Saccharomyces cerevisiae S288C: one gene and its partner. The protein of the gene in region 1 purifies or fractionates together with the protein of each later gene. This does not show direct contact. Each region holds a gene or a part of one and is shown in the gene's direction. Other genes may lie near its edges. The genes, in order: OCT1 and YGL140C.

Region 1 (4,718 bases):
CCAAACAAAGAACGATTTGCGGATACTCAGCCGCACGAAAATTTCTAAAATTGAACTAAATCCTTTAGGATATATAAAAGGGCACAAAGTGAGAACGTAAAAACAGCATTATAAAGATATTGTAATGAAGAAATTTATGCTCATTTAGTATGTGGAAATACCTTCATAGATCAGTCAAAAATGAAGGGACCGTAGAACGGCTCACTAACCTCAACTTATTTACCAATCACCGTTTCAAGTTTTATTCTACATTAAAGGAACAAAGTTTTTGGAGAATACCATTCAAAAGAAGGAGCAAATTACAGAAATGGGTGTTATCGACAGGCATCGTAAGTTTCATCGCTTTTAACATATGGTGGGTTTATTGGCCACATCATACTTTTCCCAAACCCGTTGCTAAAATATTAAGGAAGGGGTTACATTCAGAAATTAAGAAAGAAGGTGCGAACTACCAAAAAAGCCTTGAGTACTACCTCGAAGCTTTAGAAGAATGTAAAGCCGAAAACGTGGATCTACTTTCGGATGAATATACCGGTATTGAAATCAAAATCGGAGAAATGTATGAGAAATTACATATGTATAATGATGCTACAGCTTTATATGGAGACATGCTGAAAAAGTTCTATAATGAACTAAGCAAAACTACTGATAAGTCAACGAAGAGAAAATTCTTTTTGTTGAAAAGAGACCTTCAAATTTTGGTAAGGTTCAATGAAATAAATAAAGACTCTGAAACTAATGCAACGTTATTGATAATGCACCTTTTATTAGCTCAACGAGAATTTTTGGAGAACTCACCGGAGTTCAAAAATGTTCTTTCCAAATCAGAACTTTTAAACAACCAACAGCTTGACTGGAAGAATTTCAAGGGTCTACCATTTATTGGTAAATCCAAACCTGACTACCAAATGCATTTAAACTCTAAAAGAAAACAGGAGTTGAAGATAAAGGAACCTGAAAGCGAACAATGCGTTTTCATGAAAGAACTTCTGACTGCAAGAGATTTATATACTCGTTACTGTCTCAATCGGAGTAATCTTTCTGGGGCCTTGAATAGCAAAATAACAACACTAGAATGGATGTTACTAGCGGATAGTCCTCTGGACGACATCTTGCTTGCCCAGGCAGAGCTCGGGTCGATTTTTTATCTAAATTCAGAGAAGTTCGAAGGAAGTCTATACGCTATTGATAATGAACCGTACAAAAAATCAGAACCTTTAGAACTTATTCGGTCCAGGTTACAAGAAAACCAGAATTCCTGCTTACAGTACTCGGCTGACTGCTATAAAAGTATTATCAGCTTTGCCAATGAAAATCAATATCCAAAAGTTGCAATGGAAAGCGAAATGGATCAGAGAATACTTAAGGCATTATCCCTTGCTCACTACGGTATTGGTGTGATAAATTTGCATAAGGGACGCTTGAGGGCATCTAAGAAGGAACTTAAAAAGGCTATTCGTATTTCAGAGATGATTAGATTTAATGAACTCATTGAGGAAGCTCAACGTGAACTTAAAAAGGTTGATGGTACGCCTATATAAATCTTACATTTGTATATATATTCTTCTAAATTTTCATCAATATGTTGAAATGCCGAAAGATGTCGATTCCTCATTGGATATGGCGAATTTTACGTCACCGCCTCATGAACAAAAGTGAGAAAAATACATATATAGCGTCAAAATCAAAACAAATGATGAATTTACTTGCAAAGACTAAATGTGTAAGGGAATAGGTATCAGAACATTAAGTGAAGGCGCCGAAAGTAATATCAGTAATGCTTCGCACGATAATATTGAAAGCCGGGTCCAATGCCTCCATACCGTCACCTTCCCGCCAAAATAAGTTACTCAGGTTCTTCGCCACAGCCGGCGCAGTCTCTAGGACCAGTCCAGGAAGCATTAAGAAGATTTTCGACGACAATTCATATTGGAGAAATATTAATGGTCAGGATGCTAATAATAGCAAGATCTCACAATATCTTTTTAAAAAAAATAAAACCGGACTTTTCAAGAACCCTTATTTGACTTCTCCAGATGGTTTGCGTAAGTTTAGCCAGGTTTCTTTGCAGCAAGCACAAGAACTTCTCGACAAAATGAGGAATGATTTTAGCGAGAGTGGTAAATTAACCTATATTATGAACCTGGACAGATTAAGCGATACGCTATGTCGAGTTATTGATTTGTGCGAGTTTATTAGGTCAACACATCCAGATGATGCATTTGTTAGGGCAGCACAAGATTGCCATGAACAAATGTTTGAATTCATGAATGTCTTGAACACTGATGTTTCCTTATGTAACATACTAAAGTCGGTTTTAAACAATCCAGAAGTGTCTTCGAAGTTAAGCGCAGAAGAACTTAAAGTTGGTAAAATATTATTGGATGATTTTGAAAAGTCAGGAATCTATATGAATCCAGATGTTAGAGAAAAGTTTATCCAGTTATCTCAGGAAATCAGTTTAGTAGGTCAAGAATTCATCAACCATACAGACTATCCTGGTTCAAATTCTGTGAAGATACCATGTAAAGATCTGGATAATAGTAAAGTGAGTACATTTCTATTGAAGCAATTAAATAAAGATGTAAAAGGGCAAAATTATAAAGTACCTACATTTGGGTATGCAGCTTATGCATTATTAAAAAGTTGTGAAAATGAGATGGTAAGAAAAAAGTTGTGGACCGCTCTTCACAGTTGTTCTGACAAACAGGTTAAAAGATTGAGTCACTTAATCAAACTAAGGGCAATCTTGGCTAATTTAATGCACAAAACAAGTTACGCAGAGTATCAATTGGAAGGTAAAATGGCAAAGAATCCGAAAGATGTTCAAGATTTTATTTTGACGTTAATGAACAATACTATAGAGAAGACAGCAAATGAATTGAAATTTATAGCTGAACTCAAGGCCAAAGATCTTAAGAAGCCGTTGACTACAAACACGGACGAAATATTGAAGCTCGTGAGACCATGGGATAGGGATTACTATACTGGCAAATATTTCCAGCTCAACCCGTCAAACTCTCCCAATGCCAAAGAAATAAGCTATTATTTTACATTAGGAAATGTCATTCAGGGCTTGTCAGATTTGTTTCAGCAAATATATGGTATTAGATTAGAGCCAGCAATTACTGATGAGGGAGAAACATGGTCCCCAGACGTGAGAAGATTGAATGTGATATCTGAAGAGGAAGGAATCATCGGCATAATTTATTGTGATTTATTCGAACGAAATGGCAAGACTTCAAATCCGGCTCATTTCACAGTTTGTTGCTCTAGGCAAATATATCCCAGTGAAACTGATTTCTCAACCATCCAAGTCGGTGAGAATCCAGACGGTACCTACTTTCAATTACCTGTTATTTCTTTGGTGTGTAATTTTTCTCCAATACTAATCGCTTCTAAAAAAAGTCTTTGTTTTTTGCAGCTTAGTGAAGTTGAAACGCTCTTCCATGAAATGGGACATGCAATGCACTCAATGTTAGGGAGAACTCATATGCAAAACATAAGTGGTACAAGATGTGCTACTGATTTTGTAGAGTTACCAAGTATCCTGATGGAGCACTTCGCTAAGGATATACGAATTCTGACAAAGATTGGCAAACATTACGGGACTGGAGAAACAATTCAGGCTGATATGTTACAGCGCTTCATGAAAAGCACTAACTTCCTTCAAAATTGTGAAACATACTCTCAAGCAAAGATGGCTATGCTGGATCAATCATTTCATGATGAAAAAATCATTTCTGATATTGATAACTTTGACGTTGTGGAAAACTATCAAGCACTAGAACGACGTTTAAAGGTCCTAGTGGACGATCAGAGTAATTGGTGTGGAAGATTCGGCCATTTATTTGGATACGGGGCAACTTATTACAGCTACTTATTTGATAGGACGATAGCTTCTAAAATCTGGTACGCCCTTTTCGAGGATGATCCGTACAGTCGAAAAAATGGTGATAAATTTAAAAAGCATTTACTAAAATGGGGAGGGCTAAAAGACCCTTGGAAATGTATCGCTGATGTTTTAGAATGCCCCATGCTAGAGAAAGGCGGTAGCGATGCGATGGAATTTATAGCACAGTCTCACAAGTCTTAGAGAACAGAGTAGGTGCTTAATCGAGGCCATTATTTGCCAACGACGTTTATTCATAGCTGAAGAATTCTTTTCACCAAGAAAAAAAAATTGCATAATCTTATAAATACTAAGACCCATTATTTAAAAGGGTCTGAAAACCATCGATCATATTGCCTGAAAAACGAACATGCATATGTTAATTAACGCTTTACAAACAGAGCATAATTATTGTTATTCTTTTATATACTTCATGTCTTATTGTCACATCTACTGTTTTCGCGTACAGAATGATATTATGAGTTTCAAATCTTGTAGTAATATCAGAAAGAGCTCTTTTCAGTGAAGAAAGCCTACGATATAAAGAACACTTTCCCAATGACTAAGCGTTATCTGTTGTAGCTTTATTGTCATAATACACCAATTATCTGGGTACGAACTCACTTCCTGCAGCTTAGTTTTTTTTTTTGCTCAGCTTCCCACTGCACTTAAAAAACAGTTTCAACTATGCCACCATTGGATAAAAGAATCAAGAAGTTTCTAAAAGACTCCATTAGAATTGCGCCAAAAATATCCGGTAAGGGTGAACTAAGTGAATTAAGAACTGGATTAGTATCTCAATACCCACAGACTCGGAAAGATGCAA
Region 2 (6,155 bases), on another chromosome or scaffold:
ATCTCTTTCAGTAAATTCCCAAAAACTGAGAATTGTTAACTGAACGAAACCGATGTAAATATATCTTAAAAGAGCACCTTTTAAGATCATTCTCCATTGTTTCCTGAATTCCCAAAACCTTGCCTTTTGGATCCATCCTAACCGGGTGGCTAACTCCACACAGCATTTGAATACTATGATAAATCCAGCCAACACATATCCACATAAGACGAAGAAAGTAAAACCGGTACAAACGATGGACGTATTTTCGATTCCCATTTTATAGCCTAGCCTTTTGATTCCTCTAAAAATTAATGTATTTGCATTACCATACAAAACATTGGTAGCTCTTTTGATTAATGGGAGCTCCATCAAATATTGCCAACTTCTTTGAGCCAAAACAGACATAGATGTTGAAGTCAGATATAAGCTAGGCGTACCACCAGTGGATTGCACATACCACCGGAAAATCCTTTGCATGAATGAGATTCTAATTAACCCCATTGACCAAACCAAGTTTTCCGCCCAGGCGGCTGCAATAGGCGGAACTCGATGAACATGTTGCATGGCAACCACGACAACAGATTGGAAGTATAAGAAAAGTGACATTGTGTTGGCAGAAATATGTGAGGCTGCGGTAGAGTTCCCAAAAGTGGATAAGATGGCAGATAGTAAAAGACCAATTCCCGCTACCACTGCAGTTGCCCATTTTACACCAATCTGAGAAACTGTTTTACCGTTTGAGAAGTATATTTGGATACATGCTAGGTACTCGCTCACATTGTTGGTGATCTTGACCCTGGCATATGCGTCGATATCGGGGACTTGGTATGCAATACCAGGAATTTCATTTACGTACTCACTGGAGATGTATTCAATAGAGTCGATCTGAATATTACCTGGGTGAACCGGGCAAAACTGTTTCCAGTTGATTGAACAAAGATCGACATTTTTAGTAATGATCTTGAAACCATATGCGTAGACATCAATATCAGCAAAAATATATGAATCAATTTGAGTTGACATATCAAGATCATAATGTAATGACCTGTCGTCTGGATTGAAAACAACGTCAAAACTATTTGCTGACAGCTGCGAGTTTTCCATACATGTGACCAATGATGTGGCTACCAGCTTCCTTTTTGCCTCTGCAAGATTTACTTTACTGGCTAACAATATTATTAGTCCAATTAATGCCGATGATTTATAAACCTGAAGAAATCTCATGCCTGTGAGGGGTATACTTTTCTAGTCTCCACTATTTGTTGTTGTTGTTGTTGTTGTTGTTGTTGTTGTTGTTGAAATTTTTTTATTTATGGCCCGCTCGTAAATAAAAAGACCTTTCTTAGCTATACTTTGCAAAGAAGTTTTCTAGTACCCACCAATGTTGATTGGCACTCTATAACGAATGACGTCTTCGAATTGTTTTGTTGTCTTTTGAGCGTTGATCTTCTGGAAAGCGGATGAACAGAAGCGTTTTTGAGTTAATTTGATAGCGTCCGTAAGCTAGTAAATGGCACGGACAGCAACAGTATTCAGATATTCTTTTATCCCCAATCCCAACGAAGACTACCTTTTCATAGTCAACAGTTAAAGGAATCAACTATTTGAAGCTAAAGCGATGGGCCGCTGCTAGGGAAAAGGAAGCAACCATTACCCTCCTCATAAAATTGATAGGTCTTCAAAAGGCTGAGACTGATAAGAACTACCAGTTTGATGTCTAAAGAAAGAAAAGAGAAATCCAGGATCTACCTTCATCTCTATTAACACCTGCTATCGAGAGGTTATAATTGTGGTTGTGGCCTAACTACGTATCATACACTATTTTTACTTTATTCCTATCCTATCCTGGAGTTCGAAGAGAACATATTTTCAAGCGAGAAAATCTTCCTTATCCTTTGCATCAATTGCTTGACTTCATTATTTGTCCATGTCGCTTAAATCAAAGTTGACTAAGATTCAGAAGTTATGGCTGTATTATTTCCCCTGTGACAGAATCCTCGCGAAGAGAATATGTAAATCGACTGTTAATACTACGGTAGCTTTCATATTTTGCTTGATACCTAAGATAACTGCGCATTTGGGAGCAGCTCCTGCGATGCTGCCAATGATTTCTGTTATTGTTCACCCTGGAAGAAGGGTCGGGGGTACTATCCATGGTGCTATCTATTGCATAACTGGATTGATATTTGGCCTAGCTTACGCAATCTTCGGCCGGTTCCTTGCGCAGCGATGTTTAGGGAGTTCTTGGCATGAGCTAACAGAGGCACAGCAGCACGTATTGCACTATAAAAGATATGAAGCGGGATTAGCAATTTTGGCTGTTTTCGAAGTAATTATGCTTTTTTTTCATGGTTGGATGAGATCTGTATCACACTATTACTTTGGTATTGTTTTCCCACTTTTTGTCGTGGTTCATTTCGCATTTATGGATCCTTTGAATGAAACAGCAGGCACTATTGCTAAAGCTTATAGTACGCCTTTCTACCTGGGTATTGCAATGTCGATTTTCTGGAATCTTGTGTTGTTTCCTGAGTGGGGTACCACATATTTGGGTAATACGACTATTGATGCTATGAATGAGCTCCATAAGTCCATTGACTATTCGATAAATTTCTTCATTGCAGTTGACCCGCACAATAGTAGCCAGTTGTACAGTAGAGATCCTGTTTCGTTAGGCAAGCTATTGAAGATGAAGTCACTGATTTCTTCTAAAGTTAACAACTGTCGAGTAGTACTTCACGAGTGCATTTATGAGTTTACTTACGCTTATGTTTCGCCAACTAAACTAAAGCCAATCATATCTACTTTGGAAAATTTGACAGTCTTCATTAATGGATTAGTTAATACATGCCAATTAGAATTTATTTTATTGGCAAGACATGATAACAAGCTCAGGCCTGATGATGTCGCAGCTTTGACACTGCCAAAGAACAAAGAAATCAGCTTTGCAAATGCTGAGAAGTTGTTGAAAGTTATTGACAAGTTGCATCCAGTGATTTATAGTCTACACCGGACAATGAGTGAATGCATGTACATAGCAAAGTTGGTACTTGCTCATGCATTTGATGTGAAAGTTTCAAGGGTTCATTCCTGCTCAATGTTCAAAGATGGTAACTTCCCAACATTCAGTAATAACGCCAATAATCTGCCCAATGATGTTGACATCCAGAACAAGATCAATGACCTGAAGCAGGCGTTAGAAGAATGTAAAGCAAAATTCAAGTCAGAAATGTTAAGTTTTGATATTGATATTATGAGTCCTAGTGATGAAATGTTTTTGTTGTCTAGCTTTCTACTAAATTTTAGGCAAACTGCAGATTCAACTTTGGTAATTATGGAGTCCGTCAAGGACATTTTAGTCAAACGTCAAATACAAGAGAAGAAGGGCTGGCTGAGAGGCAAAAGACTTTGGTTTTTAGTGTTGACCAACTACGAGACATTTTCTATCTGGTTAAAAGGCGATAGGAACTCAGTGACTGAAAATGATACATTAAAGGGTACGTTCAATGGTAATACTAATGGTTTTGCTCATGACACAGTTATTAGAAGGCCTGATTATGAAGAGAATGAACTTTTATCTCAAAAAGTTTCATCGAATAAGAACATTGTAAAAGATGATGCATCGCTAGATCTGCCAATGACAAGTGAACCCAAAGGAAATTCATCTTCTACCTCTGACACTTCTTCGTCGCCATTAACGTTAACGAAAACAACTACGTTCGGAACTAATAGAACTTCCAGGAGGCAAGGCAGATTTTCTTTTATGTCCATGCTTATTTCAATTGATAAGTTTTGTGAAGTGTCACATCCTCACTTTAGATTTGGATTTCAGGTAGCCATTGCATTAATGCTGGCTTCATTTCCGATGTTTATTCCAAAGACAAGGCAGTGGTACATAGACTATCGTGGTACCTGGATTGGTTTCGTGTGCATACTTTGTTTGGAACCTTCCGTAGGAGGTACGTTCTGGGTCTTCTTTTTGCGTGCTGTGGGGGTTATTTTTGGAGCAGCCTGGGGTTATCTTTCCTATGTTGCTGCTGTCAACCAAACCAATCCATATTTGGAGACAGTCATCACAGTTTTTGGAGCCATTCCTGGGTTTTACTATTTATTAGGCACACCCTATGTGAAGGCTGCAATTATTGAAATTATTAGTATTTATATTGTTATGCTTGCAGCAATACTTCCCTCCCAAGATGATATATTGACTAGTTTCGCCAAGAGATGTTTAGCTGTCGGCTATGGTGGAGGGGTAGCATTAATAGTTCAAGTCTTTTTCTTTCCATTGAAGGCACGGGAACAATTAAATGAAGAGATTTCTTTTGTCTGTGGCTGTATATCGGAAATGGAACTTCTCTACGCCACCGGACTGGAAGGAGAGCAAGTCGCAAGTAGTATGAGTGAAGAGAAATACAAAAAAATCGAAAAGATATCAAAAAGTGCTAAAGAGGCGTTAGCCCGTGCTACGGCCTATAAAGGACTAACCAGACAAGAGCCGAGATTAAAGGGTGAATATACCGAGTTGGAAAATGTTTTCACTCAAGTTATATTTATTCAGAAGCAAATAATAGAGAGGATAGATACAATTTCCTTGCTGAGAAAGCAAAATGGAAGTGCGGTTATTGAAGAATTTAACAGTGTTGTATATCCATATCGACGCCAAATGGTTGGAAGTATTTCTTGCCTAATGAGAGCACTTCAAGAGGCATTTATAAATAAGACCCCGTTACCGCAATTTTTGCCCAGCGCAAGAATTGCACATAGAAGGCTGATTAATAAAGTGCGCCAAACTCTGCGAATAAGATATCCTGGGCAGATTTCAAATTTAAGTGATAAAGCAAGAAAGCCAAATGAAGGAGATTACGCTGACGGCAAGGATGAAGATGACGATGATAACGAAGGTTTGGTAATGAAAATGAATAGAAGGGGACAGGCCAACACAACAGCTAATCCTCATGAATATGTTTTAAAAGAAAAATTTTTAAGTTGGAACGCATCTAGTGCTGCATCGGAAGAAATAATTGAGTATATTGAAGAGCTGTTGAATTTAACTAAAATTCTGGTCGGTGTAAATGAGTTTAAATACGGGTTTTTATCGCGTCCACTTTACGAGGACTGGGCTGCAGAGGCAGTAACAGGATTTGATAATTTCATTAACGGGAAAAGCAATCCTATGAATACACGGCGCAATCGGACCCCATTTGATGGTACTTCCATCATTTCCGAAGGAAATGAAAGTTTACAAAGTACAAATTCTAATGAATCTCAAATTTCTCCTGATTCCACAAGAAGTTATGAGCCGGAATGTCCAGTGGCATACGAAAAAAATGATAATCCGGCAGCGTTGAATTTATTACGGATTGCTTCTCATAAAGCAGGCCAAAACGCGGATGGCTTACCAAAGACATTTAGAAATAGAGCATTTTCCATTACTTCTACCTCCGGCCAACTTTCAAGCTTAAGCAGACACAGCACCCTTGGTAATGCGGATCCTAATTATCTGAACGATGATGATGAAAGCTCTGATGATGATTTGCCATTAGCTTTGAAAATGGTGCTAAGTCACATGAAAGAAAAGAAGGACTAAGATATTGAAAAGTCCTAATGTAAGATAATTACCAATTTCATATTCATTGTCGATTTCACTTCGCTTAAAGAATTTTTACTGTTTGTTTTTTGTAAAGCCTTTCCAATAAAAAATAGAATGATAGATAAAGGTCATAACTAGAATGGTGGCGAACAAAGCAAAACTTAAATTATCTCTGCATACAAGCGTATAATTTCCTTATCTATAGTAATATATAAGAACTAGAAATCTGCCTATTAATTAATTACCTCCCTAATCTTCTGGGAATTATGATAAGTCAAACCTGGCGCCTGAGTTTATTGCATATAATAATTTCTCTCTCAAAATTGTTTTGTTTCTATAATCTGGCAATTTTAATAAATTAACACAGGTAGATGCCGTAGGCAGCCTGTATTTCTCTGTCCCTGCATTTCTGATACCAAATTTTGGATCTAATGCCTTGAAGCCTTGCAGAGGAGCTTGCGGAACGGACGTGACAAATTTCAAAAAATTCAATTTCTCTTCAAACTTAAACTCATTCAAAACCTCCCAAAAATCAACAATTGTCTGATCTTCTTCTTTATAACCCCCGTATTCTGTGTTAGAT

What was found.
Region 2: the proteins of OCT1 (region 1) and YGL140C purify together in Saccharomyces cerevisiae (affinity purification with mass spectrometry, with the first as the bait; one large-scale study listed by BioGRID). This does not show direct contact.

The regions. Positions count from the first base shown.
Region 1 is NC_001143.9:188,502-193,219, reverse strand, and holds OCT1 (metalloendopeptidase), read left to right. Parts: upstream 1-1,777; coding exon 1,778-4,096; downstream 4,097-4,718. Other genes in the region: RCI50 (Rci50p), read left to right, coding at 150-1,541; APL2 (Apl2p), read left to right, coding at 4,580-4,718. UniProt on the Saccharomyces cerevisiae protein: Cleaves proteins, imported into the mitochondrion, to their mature size.
Region 2 is NC_001139.9:240,767-246,921, reverse strand, and holds YGL140C (uncharacterized protein), read left to right. Parts: upstream 1-1,909; coding exon 1,910-5,569; downstream 5,570-6,155. Other genes in the region: FLC3 (putative flavin adenine dinucleotide transporter), read right to left, coding at 1-1,206; ubiquitin-ubiquitin ligase HUL5, read right to left, coding at 5,837-6,155.